Rattus norvegicus: one gene and its partner. The protein of the gene in region 1 interacts with the protein of each later gene in a pairwise test. Links are inferred from orthologs where the notes say so. Each region holds a gene or a part of one and is shown on either strand. Other genes may lie near its edges. The genes, in order: Foxr1 and Ppcdc.

The links.
Region 2: the proteins of Foxr1 (region 1) and Ppcdc interact in binary tests that used the Homo sapiens proteins (3 or more experiments, as listed by UniProt). The two-hybrid records come from large-scale screens. The link is inferred for Rattus norvegicus from reciprocal best matches to the Homo sapiens genes FOXR1 and PPCDC.

The regions. Positions count from the first base shown.
Region 1 is NC_086026.1:53,662,898-53,667,503, reverse strand, and holds the start of Foxr1 (forkhead box protein R1), read left to right. Parts: upstream 1-1,632; 5' UTR 1,633-2,073; coding exon 2,074-2,134; intron 2,135-2,174; exon of another isoform or gene 2,175-4,606. UniProt on the Homo sapiens protein: Transcription factor which acts as both an activator and a repressor.
Region 2 is NC_086026.1:66,731,588-66,735,925, forward strand, and holds the start of Ppcdc (phosphopantothenoylcysteine decarboxylase), read right to left. Parts: upstream 3,102-4,338; 5' UTR 3,100-3,101; coding exon 3,022-3,099; intron 1,998-3,021; coding exon 1,827-1,997; intron 718-1,826; exon of another isoform or gene 529-717; intron 1-528. UniProt on the Homo sapiens protein: Catalyzes the decarboxylation of the cysteine moiety of 4-phosphopantothenoylcysteine to form 4'-phosphopantotheine and this reaction forms part of the biosynthesis of coenzyme A.

The DNA of each region.
Region 1 (4,606 bases):
AAATGATATACTTTTAAGGGCTGGAGATGTAACTCAGTGGTAAAGCAGTTGCCTGGCTTACCTAAGGCCCTGGATTCTATTCCCATCATTGATCAGCCATCAGTTAATTAAAGAAAACCAGAACAGGGAACTGGATGTGGCAGTATACACTTTTAATCCCAGCACCCTAGGGGCAGAGGCAGGTGGATCTATTTGAATTTGAGGCCAGCCTTGTCTACATTGGGAATTCCTGGATAGAGAGACAGTGTCTCAAACAAAGAAAAAGAAGAGAGAAGAAAAGAAAGGAAAATATCTACTGAGGATTTGTAAGATGAACCAGTGGATAAAGGCACTTGCCCCCAAATCTGACAATCTGAGTTTATCCCTGGGACCCAATGATTGAAGATGAGAACCAACTGCCCCAGGTTGTCCCCCGACCTCCTCACTAGCACCGTGGCATGCTCACATGCATTCACACCCATAAAATAAATGGACTGTAACATATATGTAAAAGTGTGTATAAGGAGCTGAGCATGATGGTACATACCTGTAATCTTTTTTTAAATGATTTACTTTGAATTTTACGAGCAGGGGTTGGGGATTTAGCTCAGTAAAGCGCTTGCCTAGCAAGCACAAGGCCCTAGGTTCGGTCCCCAGCTCCGGAAAAAAAAAAAAAGGTCGAATTTTACGAGCATTGGTCATCTTGTCTCTGTGTGTGTCCGTGTAAGTGTGTTGAATCCCCTGGAACAGGAGTTACAGACAGTTGTGAGCTGTCATGTGGGTGCTGGGACTTGAACTGGGATCCTCTAGGAATAGTAGCAGCCAGCGCTCTTCACCACCGAGCCATCTCTCCAGCCCTGCACATCTGGAATCTTGGGAAGTAGATGAAAGAAGCTCGAGATTTCCCAGCTACTCTCAGTACACAGAGTTCAAAGTCCAGCTGCTATGAGCCTATTTTCAACAAACTGAAAAGAAATATATGTGTATACGTGCATATGTACAGAGACGCTTACGGGCTGAGATATTATAGTTGTACGGTACAGCACTTGCCTAGCACGTACCAGGCCCACCCGTTCCCGGAACTGAGAAAAATAAACGGATAAATGAATAAAAGGTTAATAAGGATGTAAAGTAGATAGCTATAAAGTTTTTTCTGTAAATTTGAAGTTAAAAAAAAAAGGGGGGGTTGGGGATTTAGCTCAGTGGTAGAGCGCTTGCCTAGCAAGCGCAAGGCCCTGGGTTCGGTCCCCAGCTCCGAAAAAAAGAAGAAAAAAAAAAAAAAACAAAAAAAATTTAAACCAGTTTGCTATTTAATTTAATCTCTGCTCTACTACCTACTGAGTCATCCTGTTTTTTTCCTCGTCATTCATTTATTTGTTTCTGTTCTTTTATAGTTTATGTTTTTGAGACAAGATTTCTGTGTATAGCCTCCTGAAACTAACTCTGTAGGCCTTGAACTCCCAGAGATCTGCCTGCCTCTGCCTCCAGAGTGCTGGGATTAAAGGCCTGAATTGCGCCCACACTCCCTGCTCCTTTTTTTTTTTTTTTCCTTAAAAAAAAAAAAAAAAAAAAAAAAAAAAACCTTTGCTGGTCTAGCAACCTGCACCACCACGCCCCCGCATTTAAACTCCTCCTCCATCCCCTCCATTCCCTAGCCCACCCACCCAGAGATCCTCCCCCTCGAGCCCAGTTTGCTTGGGTAGTTTAGGGTAACCTTGAATTTGTGCTTCCGCCAAGTGTAATTGATTCTAGGAATGTAGCTCGAAATCTGTTTTTAGGGGGTGTGGGCTTCGAACTTGCTCGACAGGCACTCAAGCAGCTGAGCCACATCCGCAGACGCAGGAAAACCTGGTGAGCGCGAGCTGGGTGGATCCTGAGGCAATCCGGAGTGTCTGCAGGGGCGCTGCGCTCCTGACCGTTCCCACCCGCGACTCCCCGCGGTTTGAGGACGCACTTTCCACGCAAGCGAGTCTCTCCGCCTCCTGCACCCCGCACTACTGGTCTCCTCTATCCTTAAAAGTGGACCCCAAAATCCAGGACCGGGACTTCTGGGCCAGCCTCCATGGCCAGGTCCCGGGCTTGTTGGACTGGGATATGGGCAATGAGTGCTTCTTGTCCTTCACCACGTCACACCTGTCGGAGGCCGAGCAGAAACGTGAGTGGGGCTGTGGGGGAGGGGCGCGTGGGTGGCTGCGGCATCCAGTGGGTGGACCGCCTCTGGCTTCCCAGGCTCGCCACTTCACTGGGATCAGGGTCTCGAATCCCACGCAGGCGTGTGTGTGGCCCTACCGCAACTGAGTTCCCAGAGTCCACATATTGTGGGCTACAGCTCATATCCCATCACCCCCAGAACATTCCTAGACCTCGTCTGAGCTTTGGCGCTTGCGCATGAGAACTTGGCATGCCGCAGGCTTTAGTTTTCGGTGTGAAAACAATCACTGTTCTCTTTGGGGAGGTAATCCTTGCGTCTTTGGTTGTTGCTATTTATGTTTTTGTTTTGAAACCCAGGTTTGCCTCAAGTCTTAACAGTTGACCTACTGGTGCTCTAGGCATGGGCCACCATCCCGGGATGCTAGCCCACCTCTCGTTTTATCTGTAGTACAAGATGGAGTTAATAGTGCCAACAGGATGGTGGACCTGTTCTTTTTAAGTTTTTCTTCGTCCTTGAACCGAAAGTTCAAGTTTTAGGTGATCACTCTTGTTTTTTTTGTTTTTTTGTTTGTTTGTTTGTTTTTCCTTTTTCTTTTTTTCGGAGCTGGGGACAGAACTCACTCTTGCTTTTAAAGTGTGTTGATTTTTTTTTCCCCAGTGCAAGGTCGTTGGGTTAACGTTACTCTCCCCACTTCAGTTAGTCAGATCTGTCATTTCCACGTCCACATATAAATGTCTTATTCTTCAGAAGCTGAGACTGGAGTGATTGAGCCCAGGAGTTCTAGACCAGCCTAAAGGTGTCTTGTGCAAGGCCCTACTCTTTGTTTCTGGACACGTTTGTGTATTGTTTTGTTTTGAGACAGGTTCTCACCCTTGAAGCATTGGGTTGAGTCCAGAACTCTAGATCAGGCTGGAGTTCCTGGCTTGGGGCTGTTTATCTAAACAGGAAGAGTAGACAGATGTCAGGGCATGGGGTTCTGGGGAGAAGTGTGATTGGTGACACGTGTTGAGTGGCTTTGGTATATGGTTAGAATTTAAGAGTAACAACAGTTGGACCAAGGCTGAATCCAGTGTAGAGACTGAGGAAACAGATAACCATCCCCAAGAAGACAGCCCAGTATAAAAACAGTGGTAGAGCCTACAGAACCCGGCTGATACGGTGTTACAAGGACTGAGATCGAGAGATGGGCAGGAGGGTCTGGAGGTCAGGATTATCCTTGGCTTCAGCAGGACTCAAGGGCTGCTTGGACTAGAAACTATTGCCCTCCCCTTCCCCCAAATGAAGGAATAAAGGGGGTCAACAAAGGGAAATGGGGTAAATCTGATCAAATACATTATTGTGTGTGTGTGTGTGTGTGTGTGTGTGTGTGTGTGTGTGTGAGAGAGAGAGAGAGAGAGAGAGAGAGAGAGACAGAGACAGAGACAGAGACAGAGACAGACACAATGCCCTAACATTTTCTTTTGTTGTTTTGAGACCGGGTCTCACTGTATGACGGAGATCTTACCATAGGACACATGTGAAAGTCAGGACATCCTATAGGAGTCTGGTCATTCTATTTTGAGGTCAAACTCAAATTGGCAGGCCAGACAGCAAGCCCTGTGACTCACTGAACCATCTCATAGGCTCCAATAGGCTTTTACATCCTCTAAAGGTGCTGTACAATTTTTGCATTCCAAATGTAATCCTTCCACCTCAGACTCGCAAGGGCTGGGACTATATAACCCTATACAAACCCCCTTGGCTTTACTATGTTTTTATGTCCATCAAAATTGTCAGATAAGTTTTTGTGCCCCAAATTCACAATCTTCCTGCTCTCGACTCCTACTACTGGGGTTACAGGTGTGTGCTCTTACAGACAGGTTTATCAATCAAAGTTATTGTGCCTCTTTTTTCTTTTTTTCGGAGCTGGGGACCGAACCCAGGGCCTTGCGCTTGCTAGGCAAGCACTCTACCACTGAGCTAAATCCCCAACCCCTGTGCCTCTTTTTTTGTTCGTTTGTTGGTTGGTTGTTGGTTGGTTCTTCAAGACAGGGTTTCTTGGTATGTGATTGCATCCCTGGCAATCCTAGAACTGGCCTTGAACTCAGAGATCCACCAGCCTCTGCCTCCCAAGTACTGGGATTAAAGCCCTGCACCACCATACTGGATAAATCAAATATTTTAACACAATCCAATCCAAATATACATCAACTGGACACTCACATACCATAGGATGATGTCGTAAAGTCATAAACCTTCGAAGCTGGGCACAGTATTACACCAGCAGTCAGAGGCAGACGAGTCTATGAATTCAATGCCAGCCTGGTCTACATAGCAAGTTATAGGCCAGCCAGGATTACATGACGAGACACCCCCCTCCATCTCAATACAGTCTTACACAATATTTTGTCTCTGTTTTGTGGTTGAAGATTGAACCCAGGCGTGTGCCATCTCAAACAAGGGCTTTTCCTGATGAACTGACCCTAGCCCTAAGTC
Region 2 (4,338 bases), about 13 Mb from region 1:
GTCTCAGCAGCCTCCATACCTCAAGCCGTGTGCTGGCCCAAAGGCCCTGACATAGAGCAGAAGAGAGGTGCCAGGCAGGAAACATGCACTGTTAAGTGCTCCCATGTGCCAAGTTCTGTGCCAAGTTGCTGTCAAACTGTGCCATCTGCCCTCCACCTCCACACCTGGGGGATGGGCAAGAGGAACCATCCCTACTGGAAACAAGAAAGGCCAGCTCTCAAGAGTCAAGTGAAGGAGAGGCCTCCACAGTTCAGTGCCCTCTGGCTGCCTCACTTGGGCTCCAACCCCAGCCAGAGAAAGAACGGGCCAAGGCCTGTTCCAGACACAGCCTGTCCTCCCTCCCAGGGGCCCAGGCTAAGAAAGCCTGGGGTAGGTGGAGCCACCACCCTGCCAGCAGCCCTTTCCTTACACCCCCACACATGCATGGGCTGGGAGGAAGTGGTGTTACCATTCCCTTGTGCTCTGAGGCTGCCCATCTGTGTCCTGGGATAGGACTCCCTACCCCCATCCCCCTACCCGGAAACTCACTTGCTCTGGGGCTATGGGAAAACGGACTGTTTGAGCGCCTGTCTCCCCAGGGGGCAGTGACTACGTCAGAGCCCCTTTCCAGGCCTTCTGTCTCGGGCTCTATCTGATCAGCTTCTAGCAACAGCTCTGGGGCACATGAAACAGAGAGCGGCCATGAGAATCTCTCTTCTCCTGACTGTGCACAGTTGGCATCGTCATCGCTTATTTCAGCCTGGGGGCAGGGAGGGACTTGGAGAGGAGGTAACATTCGCGGTAGAAGTTGGTAGAAAGAAAGAAACAAGGTTTTCCAGTCCCGGACTGGAAGGACCCACATCAGTCATTTGTGTGAGAGAAGCGCCCTCTGCTGGACATGCAGGATACAGCCACCTAGGCGGTCCCACATCAGGGGCTATTCAGACACAAGGAAGGAAAAGGAACCTCAGTGTCTTAATGTGTGCCCCCACAAAACTAGTGCTGGATTAACACATGCAGGACCAACGCAGCCTAGGCTCTATGTCAAGTAAGTTTAGGAGAAAATAAAACCACCCAGGCTGGGACAGGCAGGAAAGGTATGTGTGAGTTGGGGGTTCATACAGACTTGAAGAGTGAAGAGAAAGGGGCAGTTATCTGTAGGAGGTAACCCACAGCAACGGTCATTAGATAGAACACAGGAACAGCAGGAGGCTACACAGACCCACAGAGGATTCTGCGGAAATGACGCATCTACCTGCTGGAGCTGATCATATTTCAGTCTTTGAATTTCTGCTCCTGAACCCTCAGATATAAAACTAGTCAAAGTTGAGGTGGCCTGGCCAAAAACAGGGTGAAAAAAAATCTCCCATCCCACCACACAGGAGTGGCTTCTGGAGTATCTAAGAACACTGGAGGGAACTGGGCTTGGAACAAGAGCAGCCCCTGGAGAGCTCAGTACGTTTGAGACAAGCAAAGTGTCAGACCAAGGACGGAGACCCGAGCCTGGCGTTCAGGGAGGAATGAGAGCGGGAGCAGGGGAATGAGGGGTGCTGAGACTCTTCTGCCCTTCTCAAGACCAGAGGACTTCATGAACCCTCAGGGTCAGTGTGTGGGGTCGTGGCTCCCTCCCCGTCTCTCGTGCCCCACCTACAGTATCTCAATCTAACTTGTGCTTATCTTGTACACTCGTCTGTCTCCTGTGTGCCTCACACGCCAGCACACACAGAGGATCTCCCTCTAACACACCAGGATTAAGGGAAAAATACATCTGCAGAAACGAGTTTGCCCCAGAAGAGGCGATTCCTTAGTGCCAGAAGCCACTACATTTATCTTGAGAGGATACTCACCCCAGGAATGTCCAAAAGCTTTGATACCAGAAGAGGCAGCTTCAGCGCAGCAACGCTTCCAGTGACACCCACAAGAACATGGAACTTTCTCTCCACTGAGGGTATGGAGGCTGGGCATGGGGCCTCTGGTTCCATGCGGGATCTGGTGGCTTTCTGGGAGCTGAGAAGAATCTAAAACAGAATAAAGGGCACCCTCTTCATTCAGTCATAAAACAAGCTGCATGTGGTATGCCCTAGGCCATCTAGATGCTGGGGTTGCTCTGGGCAAAACATTCCCAGCTTCTGGTAACACATAGTGGGAGGACCAAATCAGGCCTCCTCTCCATTCGATGCCTATGCCATGGCTGCCCAGAGACTGTCTCAGATTGTGTCACGTAAAGGTTATCATTCAGGCTGAGTCTGAAGGATGAGCACTGTTTCAGGCAGGAGGAAGTTACTTCAAATGGAATGACCCTGCAAAGCGGAGAGGTCTGAAGGAGAATGGCAGAAAACACAGGGTAGGTTAAGAGAGAAGCTGAAGAGTCCTGAGAAGGGTAGGAGGGACAAGTGGGGTTGTAATGGGGTGCTTTGATGTAAGAAAGCGATGTGAGTGCTGTCAATGTGAGAGGGCCGTGGTGAGTGGTGGAGACCGGGGAGTTACTGCGGTGTGCCTGGCTGGCTGGTGAAGCAGACAGAGAGAAGACAAGGTACAAGGATGCCAGTAAACTGGAGCCACAGGCAATGGGGAGTGCATCTGGAGGCAGGAGACTTGCCTCTGTTGAGCTCCGAAATACAAACTGACTTCTAACAGTCGAATACAAAGCAGTGGGCCACTCCACAGGAGCAGCTGCCTGGGCTCCTCCTCCAGCTTCTGATGCTGTGGCTGATGCTCACATCAAAACTCTACCCTGGCGGCTGGGCCAGCACACCTCACTCCATCAGCCATAGTCACTGAGGACCAAACCCTGGGCAGCAAAGTGTGGAAGACAACACTGCTGCTTTTACAGACTCTGTGGATGGATCTGGGGGGCGCCCTTTTCTCCACTGAACCTTGTCAAGGGTCTCTCACGGTTCAGACATCAGTTTCCTTTGCCTTTGCTTCTTCCCCTACCAGCCATCTCTCTGGGTTGACCAGATGACCAGATTAACCACCACCCACCATGTCCCTCACTGTCACAGTCCTGGTTATCTGCCGGAAGAATAAACTGCACTGTACCTGCCCTGTGAAGCAGGAGTCCAGGTCCTGTCCAGGGCTGTTCTCCTGATCTGGTGTGTGATCTTGAGCAGGGATCATTCCCTCCCCCAAACTCTTTGCTCATATGAAAGACATGGGAACAGTTGATTTCTGAAGCCTCCTGCAATACAGCCTGAGTGTATGCCAAAAGCAATGGTAAGTGGCTCTTTCTGCAAGACAAAATGTTGTCGTAGAAGATGTACTCCAAAAGGTCAAGGTCAGCCATAGAAGGAGAACCCAGTAGCTCCAGCTCCCTCCAAGCCTAGGTAACCACATGGGGCTGTCTGCCACTTGCAATTGCCACAGCATTCAGTCATATATCCATAAGAGCTGAGGTGATACAGAGTACCCTTCTCAAAGGGGGTAAGCACAAATTAGTTCTCTAGGTACAACTCCTATTCGTAAAGTTTACCTTGCTCAGCACTTTTTAAAGATTTACTTTACATATTCACTGTTCATGTGTGTGGGCACTGTTCATGTGTGCAGGCACTGTTCATGTATGTCAGCACTGTGTGTGGTATTTTGACTGCATGTATGTCTCATGTGTGTGGTATTTTGACTGTATGCATGTCTGTCCTTCACTTGTGTAAAGTGCCCACAATGGCCAGAAGAGGGTGTCCGGTTCTCTGGAATTGGAGTAATAGATGGTTATGACCTGCCATGTGGGTCTAGAAAACTGAACCAAGGTCCTCTACAAGAGCAGAGCTCTCTCTTAACCACTGAGCCTTCTTTCTACCCTAGCCCCACCACCAATGCCAAAGAACCCTTGCTACAATTCATAGCCTCACCCAGGACCAGGCCTGTTAGAGAAATGAGTCCACCCAAAATCTGAAGAGCACTGTTAACAACTGACAGAGTCCATGGGACCTACCGCCAGCTTCTCCCAGAGCACATCATTAGTAGGTGAGAGGCACGTTTGGGTTCTGTTGTTAATTATTTTTAAATTATGTGTGTGTGAGAGAGAGAGTATATGAACTTGAGTGCAGATGCTCTCATAGGCCAGAAGCATCCGGTCACCTGGAAGTTGGAGTTCTGCGCAGTTGTGGGCTTCCTGACATGGGTGTACACACAGGCGATAGGAACAGAACTTGGGTCCTCTGCAAGAGCAGTACAAGAGCCATGTCTCCAGCCCCATAAGAAGCACATCCTTTTTTTTTTTTTTTTTCTTTTTGGTTTGGTTTGGTTTGGTTTTTCGAGACAGATTTCTCTGGGTAACAGAGCCCTGGCTGTCCTGGAACTCACTTTGTAGACCAGGCTGGCCTCAAACTCACCAAGATCCGCCTGCCTCTGACTTTGAGA